2 linked regions of the Neodiprion lecontei genome follow. The protein of the gene in region 2 binds, or shares a complex with, the protein of the main gene of each other region. Links are inferred from orthologs where the notes say so. Each region holds a gene or a part of one and is shown on either strand. Other genes may lie near its edges. The genes, in order: polycomb protein Scm and polycomb protein Sfmbt.

Region 1 (5,169 bases), on a different chromosome or scaffold from region 2:
GCAAGAAATAATTTATTTTTATTTATTATCTAATCATGATGGATCACAATATTTCTGTTTAAAATTTAAAAAATACTTTCACAACTGTGTATCTGTATCAGAAAAATTAAATTTAATTGGGCTTACATTTTTGCCTCGGTGGCTGTAGCGGATGTCCGCTTTTAAAGCACCAGCCTGCAGGAAATATATCCCGAGAATCGTAACGGCACCAGTAATCAAAAGCACCTCTCCATCCATCGAAAGTTATGTGAATAATGTCATCCTTTACAGCGCCAACAGTTGCTGTGCATATAAGTTGTGGATTTTTCTTATCAATAGCTTCGAGCTTGTACCCAACTTCGAAGAGATTGGAACGTGGATCTTTTGGTTCCCGTTTAAAAACTTTAGCTGGTGCCATTTCAGCGCCATTAAGCGTTTTCAAAAGAAACATTGGCCAGCTAGATGCATTCATCCGGAAACCTAGCGGTGGTTGTAACATTCCCCCAGATTTTTCGCAGTGACCAATCGGATGTATTTCATTGCTATCTACCAAGCGCCAAAAATCGTTTTTGTTATCCGAACCATCGAGTCGCAATCTTAATCTCGGCCCCAAGACTCCAACTACTGTTGCGATGCATGTAGAAGTCAAGTTGCGAGGGTCCAGTGCCTCAAGTTTCATTCCCATTTTAAATTCATTTGTTGGCGGAACTTCGTGCTGCCATTTTACAGGGAAATATCAATTTAATCAATGGGTAGATTTTATACTGTGCAAAAAAGGAAACTAAAATAGAAGATGAAAACAAGTAGTACCTGTTTAAAGCAATCAATAGGTGCAGCCACACTGTTGGTCTCTTTGAGATATAATTCCCAATCAAACGTTTGGTACGTCTCATACTGGAAAGGACCAGATGATGTTGAAGGAGGCTGAGATACAGTTGGTTGACTATTGGTGCCGGTATAAGATTGCGTTGTCGAAGGGATGCTACTTCCACTAGGGAGGCCAGAAGGTGCAGGAGAGGCTGCAGGAGATGGTTGCTCACCATTGTCTATATTTAAAGACACATAGATTATATATTGTGATAATATATTATGAGAAATAACATTATCGCCATAACAGTAAACATCAATGAGTCTATTGATCTAGGATTATTACTAACTTTTTCTTGATTCACTCTCTTTTTTTTGATGCTTATTAAGACAGAAAGAAGAGCAAAAATCCTTGATTGGAGTATCACGCTGTTCCAGTCTGACTGGAGTCCCTCTAATCACATTATCGCACTGCACGCAGGCCCCTCTGATGTAGGCTTTGCGATACTCGGATAAACAAGTTTCTGAACAAAACTCTTTTTTTCCATGCTGTGTCGGCAGTACGTATTTCAACGGCTGCTTTGTTTCTCCGCACCAAGTGCAGGAACTCTTTGGTTTAGGTGGTCGACCTGGGCCTAAGTTGAAATATTAACTTTAAATAGGTCTGCAAAAACTACATGATGTGATTGTTCAGTCATAAATCTGATTGTTTGAAGTTATTTTACAAAATACATCGTTGACACATCTTTCTTTTCAAATCAATGATGCCGAAATATCGTTACGATTTATCTTTCATGTATGGAAGATCATTTAGAAGGTATTAATTTCAAGGTAGTAATAATTCAATATAACGATAGAGATTTACACACTTATTTAATGTAAAAGTACAGATATATAGCATTTGAATAATCTTGCGATTTTAATTGAAGAATAAAAAAAAAAAGACATTAGAAGTGAAAGACGAGGTTATTTACGTATTATAACCGTGCGATATATCATACCTCGCATCTTCCCTTGGTTAGCAGACATCCTGGCCGGTAGTAATTTGGCTAATAATATAAGCCAGAAACAAAACTAACCACCATGAATGATTTATGCAACCAACTAACAATGACACCTACAATCAAAAGAATTTGCATCCATTAACGATACACATTTTGGCATCTAGAGAATGCCCCCTGAGCGCGGAAAATTGTTCCCGGGTTGAAAATAATACCGGCTCGGTTGGGATCGCGCAGTATAATTATATAAATATTATCGATCCGCATTAAGCATTGATTACGTAGGACGTTTGACGATTATAATTCCTACTGTATTTACGTAGTTTTCATTCTGATAATATTATACACCCACAAGCACAGAGTCTACTGTCAACGCCGCCATATTGCTTTTATATAGTCGCGCGCGGTGTCTCTTGGAACCAAATCCTGTCCGATCCGAACTCGCGCCGAATGCCGCCACGGTGTAAAAATTAAGAGATACCTAGTCCGTCCGACTGCTCTATTATACTCCCGACAGAGACTCTACTAGTCTCTGCTCCCGATGCAAGGCTCTGTGATTGTTGTTTTACTAAAGTCCCCTGTCTCTCCGCCACGTGTATCCTTTGGTGTCACAATAGATGATTGTGAAAACATATTTTTCCTGTATCTTTATTTCGAACCTGTTTGATCACTTTGTTTCTGGTCACGGAGTTCGTGAACGGGTTGTTCATTTGCTCTGGTGCAATTTTAGATTACTCCGTTGATACATTAAAATAAAATGGGAAAGTTCCGCTATGTACCTGACTGCCAGTACGGGTATCGGCATTCGGAAACACCAGTATCGTTAGTTGGCGTTCCCGAAGATCATAATTTATTTATAAAGTGGTATTAACGGGTTGTATGTTAAACGTCAACTTTTGCGCGGATACAAATTGTTCTGAAAGACGATTTAAATTTTTGCGGGCGGTGGTTTTTCGGCCTATGCGACACCTGGACTCGGCTGGTGAACTTTGGTAAAATAATCACAGCATCCAGCACGAGTCGGACCACTTATTCTTATACTGTGACCAGCACCAGGCTGAGTTTCTAGAGTGGGAAGGAACATGGGTCAATGCTTAGGCTAAAGAGAGACTGATGATTTTAGCCAGCGACGAGCCCGTCGTTGATTGTCATCACCTCTCGCAAATATGGCATAATAGCGCCATTCAATTATCTTACCGCCCGCATGTATCTATTGAACCGACGCGAGTTCGGGGGACATTAGCATTCTCGAGAGTTAGAGGATTAATTTTTACTCTCCTCAAGATTGTACTTATCCTGTACTAATTTGAGAGTATGCACATTAAAGTTTTACGCACATTATAAGTAACGGGAATTGAGGGCATAGATATACCCAAAATGCTTGAACGCCACTTTTATTACTTCAGTAGAATTTTTCCGATCTGCTATTATATGTATAATATACTTTAATAAAATATAAATTTCCATGAAAAATAGGATCACAAGGTAATTATCACTATGATATATCGTGAACCTGCATAACCGCAAGCTTTATAAACCCGAACAATAAATATTATGCGTACTAAAATATAATTTCAATTATTTTGGATACAAGTGAATACTATATATACATATGTAAGTTTATATGTATATACATACATGTATAAGTCAGTTGGAGAAATTTAATTTGAAATTAAACGACGTACTTACGTTCGATCAGAATCTCACTCTTATAAACTTGATCATACATGTAACTATTATAGATTCTGTATTCATCATCCAAGATTGTACTACAGCAGATAGCTACAGTAAAGAATATTAGACGTTCAATTTAAACGTTGACTAATTTGGATTGCAAGATATGATGCAATATACTATTTTTCGCCAACTATGACCTATAAAGTTTGTTTTCCTGCTTGGTGCTGTTTATACTTCTAGGTATGCAACTCTAAACTTCATTACTGCCAGATGCTGTTTTGGCTTTTGGTTGCTGCTTAATGCGGTAATCAGAAAGTGCTGCCTTGATTGCATCCTCTGCAAGCACTGAAATAAGGATTTTTTAAATTTTATAGTAATTTACATGCCTACGAATGCAAGTTAAAAAAAAGTTTAAAATGGATTTTTAAAAACTGGATTTGGAAATATTGCCTTGAATTTCTGATATAGAATAAAAATTATAGTTTTTACCAAGTCTACTTTACTAAATTACCAGCTAGCTACTGAAAAACCATAGCACTTGGATTTTGGTACATGAAATATTAATTATTAATTTTTCATGCCAGCAACCCAGTTACATTTCTGATTCGTCATACAAATCTTATCTTTAACCTTTCATTACTCGCACTTTGAGCGTGACTTTAGCCTTTAGACAAAAATCCCAATATATGTAACTATATGAGTAACTGTGACTTCATACTTTACTACTTTTTTCTTTGAAATGTTTACTATAGTTGGATATACTCATAATTGATAACTATTTAATGTATAAGAAAAGTATATTAATGTTCAATAAGATCGTGAAATAGTAGCACAGTGCTCATTACACGAGTTAAATCATTGATTCAATTTTTCCGACCACGTTGCCAGAGCTGACTTGGAACATCTCAGCTGACAGTAAAGATGGTCGATACACACAGTGTGCTTATATACTCTTAGATTTAAAAGAAATTATGTTCGATACATATATTTTCAAAATAATCAAATAAGCTGTTTAATGAAAAGATTTCATTACTATATTGTGACGTGGCAATGTCCCATTTCATTTAACATAGGTGGCAGAGTGCTGTCCGCACAATGAAATTCGTTGTGCAAGCAAGTGCCACTAACGAAAGGTTAACAATGCTATTATCAATCTAATGGGCTAAAACTTACTCGAACAATGTAGCTTGACTGGTGGAAGGCAAAGTTCCTTTGCAATGTCAGTGTTCTTTAGCTCCAATGCTTGGTCAACCTGATTACAAATATTAATAGTGATTAGCGATGTTTAAAGTATAATGCACACACAGGATTAATCGAAGCATGAACTTACCGTTTTACCCTTAACCCATTCAGTAGCAAGAGAGCTAGAGGCGATAGCTGATCCGCAGCCAAATGTCTTGAATTTAGCATCAGTGATTTTTCCATTTTCATCAACTTTTATTTGAAGTTTCATGACATCGCCACATGCCGGAGCTCCTACAAGGCCAGTTCCCACATGTTTGTCATTTTTATCAAGAGAACCAACATTCCTCGGATTTTCATAGTGGTCTAGCACCTGGATAATATTGTAACAACGGGGGAAATTAAGAAAGGACTGAGAATCAATGGGTTCACTGCGCGAATTGAGCGAACGCCGAGCCAAAGAAGTCTCACAAAACGAGGAATATTTTAGAAAGAAAGTGGATGTATTTGGTCAGGAAGTTCT
Region 2 (5,047 bases):
GCGCATGCTCTACTGCAAAACCGACGCTCCTTGGTGTAGAACGCGTGCTTCACACCAATTGCACCACATTTTTCACACACAGCTATGATAAAAGTTGAATTTATATTTTTTTTAGTCATTAGAATTGTTTGTGTTTGAATAGTAAGTATATTTCAATCATTGCAAAGAAAATATTTCGCTATTTAAGAAACTCTTGCCACTAGTATTACATTTCTCATGGACGATTTCACTTGAAAATTGCAAGTATGAAGGATCGTAATTCTGATCAAATCCAATTGAACAATTTCTATATGATATCATTAATCAGAAGTATAAAAATACAAGATGGACTTGAGATGTTTGGTTCTGAATAGGGAAGAGAATGAGTGCCTGGAATAACAGGGAATTGATGAAAGAATTTATATCGAGTAAGTGTGTAAACGAATATAAAGATAGAAAGAAAAGTGTCCAGTTACAGTGTGGAGATTCATAATAACAGGAAAAAGCGATGATAGTAGACAAGGAGATGCGTGGCAAATAGCCTAGACATAAAGAGACTGAATCCACAATTATCTCCTGCATCTTAATTATACGTGATTGAAACATATACATATATTGAGAAATATATCTTCACGTTGAAGTATGTGCTTTTCGTTAGCTTCGCCATAACATTTTCACGTGCTTATTCATCGAGCATCAATTTTCGTATTTCAGTTAATTCATTTGCCCTGATCGAAAACCAGTAAATAAAATAGAGAAATAAAACCCAAACGTTGTCGATTAACCATTTTTTCTTTTCTTTCGTATTTTTTAAAATTTAGGTGAAGTACATCACAGAAGTTATTTAAATAGCGCAGTCTTATAATTTGTGTGCAGATACTTTTCTTTTTTTAAGATATGGTATCTTTTTCAAGCTTCAACTGTAATGCATACCTGCTAGACGTGATTATAAAATATATTTCTTATAAGAATGACTTACCAATGCCATCCTTACGGATAGGTATAAAGTTCAAATCTGTATGTGGCTGATAAGCAATTGGAGTCTTTAGGACCAAGCCTGGATGTTTTATAGGTTTGATCTTGCGGTTTCGATTGTCTTGGGTCTGCGTAGCTGCATTTGTGACCACCTGTTCACGATCTCCATCAGCCATGTAATCCTCTATAGTCATGTACTCGCTCATCTCTGGCCCAGTTTGCGGGTCATATTCCTACACAATATTTTTAAACAAATTGACTGCATGTACAAACGTTGTTCATCAAAAAAATTGATATGATCTAAAATCAATAATCAGAGAATGGTCTTCTACGACGGGAGATATGAAATAACTTACATTTTGTATTTCTTGAGTATCCACAGCCTCCATCGCTTCGTCAGGTTCTGAGCATTCGGCAGTAAACTGTGGGGCCAAATATCGCACCATAGTAGGCGGGCCCATGTGATGATTACGCAGATCGTCAAAAGAATGAGATCCATGAGAGAAAAAAGGGCTTTCTGGTTGGCGCGGGTCTAGCATCAACTCATGTGTTGGCTCCCCATGCATCATCATGTCACTCATCCATACCATCCCCAGCTCTGGCATCCCAGGGATGGATGTATATACTGGATATAGAGAACGTTAAGCTTATTAGACGTATGTATCAGTATCATTATCGCAATATCAGTGAATGGGTAAATAGACATAGAACCATAAATATAATTCTAATGATATTGATATATAGAGCTAATGCGTATTATTTACAGTAACAGGAGCAGTAGTTATCATTGAATGAGCATCGCTCTAATTTAAAAGAGCATATTGTCCATTGCAATGCATTGATTATACACGTCGTATATGACGATGGACCGAAAAAAAATTGAACCAGCACGTGACTTCTTAGTCCATGAATATCGTCATTATTCAACACTTCTGACAGAATCAAGTTTCATTATGATGATAGCTACTATCAAGCAAAGCAGATGAATGGATGGATATATCTGATCCACTCTGGCTTGAATAACTAGGTGGCTCATTACTCAATAGTTAATGCTTTGTTTTACAAAGTAGAAGTCAGATTTAAGATCTTAAATGTGCTACTATGTCAAGTCGCATTGAAAAATCTCAGAAGTATTTTACCGCTGACGAACACAATTACATTATTTTTATGTAAGCTTAATCAAGCTACCTGCTATGGTCACGGCAATCCAATATATGAAGCATTTGGTACTGCTTTAAAAAGAGAGCATGACACGCTACAGTGACAATTTTGTGCAAAGTTATCAATCGAAACAATTGTGACGAATACATGAAACATAAGAGAGCTCGGACAGGGACGTAACACACAATTGATATGATCTCTACGTTAGAGTAAAAAATGTTGTTTCCGAGAAGTATTGGGAATGGATTTAAAAAAATACATCATTTTCGATGTACTTATTATGTAGAAATGAAAATTGATCAGAGTTATACAGATAAGTGTTCCATTCATCATAAATAGTCCATACCACATCGAGAGCGCCTTTGCTTCGGCGGTACGAACCCAAAGACCTAGGAAAACTTTGGAAGAGTATTTAGTGCGTGCAGATAAAAACGTGTATTGTTAAGATATGAATAATACTATATTACGTGATTTTTCATATGTGATATAATGCATTCAAGCACATAGAAACGGCGATGTGGAGTGCAGAGGGAGCAGGAAGGGGGATGGGGGCGAGCAAGGGAAACTAGCGGCTGTAAATTAATTACGCTCCTGAAACCGACGCCTGGCGCCCGAAAGCCTGCGTTTATTTAACCTTTTTACATACGTTACCTTCGACCCGAATGATGTCCTTGAAAAACTTGGGAGAGAATCTAAAAAAAGGAGGTCTTATCCGTGCAGTAAAACATTCAACTACGACTATCTGAAAGTTATGGGGAAAATTGAGAAAAGGTAAAGATATATACAAACCATTGGAGGCCTGCATGTCCATGACAAAGGGTTTCGGAGGGTTTATTTGGAGATTTCGACCCGGTATTACCGCAATCTGTGTTTCTCGCGCAGTGGGTACTCCATCCCGATCGACACGAAGAACATTATCATCGAAATTTTCACCCGTAAACCGAGATTCACTTAAAAAAATTGTGTTTTACGCGACATCACCGAACAATAGCGAAAAACATTCGTGGTAGGCCTATTCGCTTCATCCCCACCATCGCAATCGCCCTCCTTAAACCCCAGGGCCGTACCATACGATTCTTCACTTCCCGTTGGAATCCCTTGGGCTGCTGTATCTATCTACTTCACACCAAATCACCGACGGACAAACTGCACACGTCCCATTTTTGTCCAATATCTAACTACGCATACCTTATGCATCAGTGTGTAGGCCTTGCGTAGATATAACGCTGGTTCCTCGGCCAAGTTCAAAGATCAATTGTCACTGCTGTAAATCTACCAATTCGTCAAATAATTGCCACGTAATTGTGGTTAACGCAATGAAAGATAATTTTCCTGCCAGTAATTGATGGCATTTTTACGTAGCGTGTCAGGATCATATCAGGATACCGAAATTAATTTGAATGCGAAAAACAAACGATAAACAGTTGCTGAACTTTCAATCCAAGGACCAAGGACGACTTGTATAATTATTGTCAATTACCTGTTTTCACCTCTCACTTGTTATGAGACCTGCATGCCTGACTAGCTGTATCAGTCCTAAGTTAAGACCGTTTGTATAAGGTCCTAAGTATCAACAAATGCATGTACAATTGACGAATAGAAAACCGTTTGCTCATAAATAATAAACAGATTTGTAGTTATGCGTGTGGTATATATTCAGTTCATTGATAGCCAAGCACGTTGAGTATCTTATCTCTGATTGACCTTTAAGTGTTGCCATTCTAAGGCCAAATAAAAACTGATAATCAGTAACTAAAAATTTTGAGTGTAACTGGTAACTCAACAATCAAGGTGATTTAACCGTTAGGCCAAACAATTTGTTTTGTATTATAATCATATACTCACAGCATTGTATCACCCGTTCATCGTGTTACCTTTGTCTTGTTTTATGTCGTTGCTTTATGCCAAATAACAGTATTACATCTTGTAGGAGTTGTCATTTCATCCTCTTGGAAGAATGGTGAAATCTTCACAAATATGCACTTACTTTGAAGTTCACCATTTTGTGTCAAGTTTTCCATTTTTATTCACAGATATGTCACCCGAGGAACTACGTCTTCCAATGCCATGGGGTCACATAGCAGCCAAGGCATGGGGTTCACCTAATGGCAAGCCTGTTTTGATGGTTCATGGTCTTCTGGACAATGCAGGATCATTTGATCGCCTGATTCCATTTCTACCATTCGATTATTACTTTGTCTGCATTGATTTACCGGGCCATGGATTATCGTCACACTTCCCTGCAGGGTTACCCCTGGATTATTTAAATCACGTTTTAGCTCTTCGCAGAGTCTTAGATAGTCTTAAATGGAGCAATTGTATCTATATAGGTCATAGTTTAGGCGCTACTATGGGACTGATGTTCACCTCAATTTATCCTGAGAGAGTAAAGAAAATTTTATGTTTTGACGCAGTTACTGCTACGCCAATTACAAACAATAGACTAATTCCCCACATTCGAAAGGTACATGACAATATTTTGAGCATTGAAGGGAAAGAAAAGACTATGAAAGTATATACAGAGGACGAAGTGATGTACATGCTCATGTATACAAGATTCTTTGCTCTAAATTTTGCTGCTGCTGAAGCTTTGATGAAGCGATCTGTTACCAAAATTGGTGATAAATACAAGTTGAACCGCGACGTACGACTCAACGCCGGCTTGTTTCCGGTATTTAATTCTGATCAACACTTGAGTTTACTTGAGAAACTCAAATCACCTGCGACAGTCATTGCCGCAACAGCAACAATGGCTACAGCTCATTATGAAAAAATGTTATGGCTTAGTTCAGATAGGTTGATGAAATCACACAGGTTTCTAATAGTTGAAGGTAATCATGACGTACACAATAATCACCCTGAGAAAGTTGCTTCTCACGTATGCCAATTTTTGAGTGATCTTAAGAGCAATTTGTGATCTACGTAGCTCTTA

Evidence for each region.
Region 1: the proteins of polycomb protein Sfmbt (region 2) and polycomb protein Scm are in contact, whole or in part, in a crystal structure (PDB 5J8Y), measured with the Drosophila melanogaster proteins. The link is inferred for Neodiprion lecontei from reciprocal best matches to the Drosophila melanogaster genes Sfmbt and Scm. Residues at the interface, in NP_001260432.1 of Drosophila melanogaster: Lys1176, Asp1177, Met1180, Met1185, Lys1186, Val1187, Gly1188, Pro1189, Leu1191, Lys1192, Asp1195; in NP_001247006.1 of Drosophila melanogaster: Lys831, His832, Glu833, Ile834, Asp835, Lys837, Ala838, Leu841, Leu842, Met846, Lys849, Tyr850, Met851.

Annotation. Positions count from the first base shown.
Region 1 is NC_060263.1:33,903,061-33,908,229, forward strand, and holds the start of polycomb protein Scm, read right to left. Parts: upstream 3,037-5,169; 5' UTR 1,816-3,036; coding exon 1,788-1,815; intron 1,422-1,787; coding exon 1,137-1,421; intron 1,026-1,136; coding exon 790-1,025; intron 695-789; coding exon 127-694; intron 1-126. Other genes in the region: iron-sulfur cluster assembly enzyme ISCU, mitochondrial, read right to left, coding at 3,715-3,809, 4,638-4,716, 4,795-5,019. UniProt on the Drosophila melanogaster protein: Polycomb group (PcG) protein. PcG proteins act by forming multiprotein complexes, which are required to maintain the transcriptionally repressive state of homeotic genes throughout development.
Region 2 is NC_060262.1:36,177,920-36,182,966, forward strand, and holds the start of polycomb protein Sfmbt, read right to left. Parts: upstream 3,178-5,047; 5' UTR 2,927-3,177; coding exon 2,905-2,926; intron 2,887-2,904; exon of another isoform or gene 2,766-2,886; intron 1,580-2,765; coding exon 1,311-1,579; intron 1,188-1,310; coding exon 959-1,187; intron 83-958; coding exon 1-82. Other genes in the region: serine hydrolase-like protein, read left to right, coding at 4,151-5,032. UniProt on the Drosophila melanogaster protein: Polycomb group (PcG) protein that binds to the Polycomb response elements (PREs) found in the regulatory regions of many genes.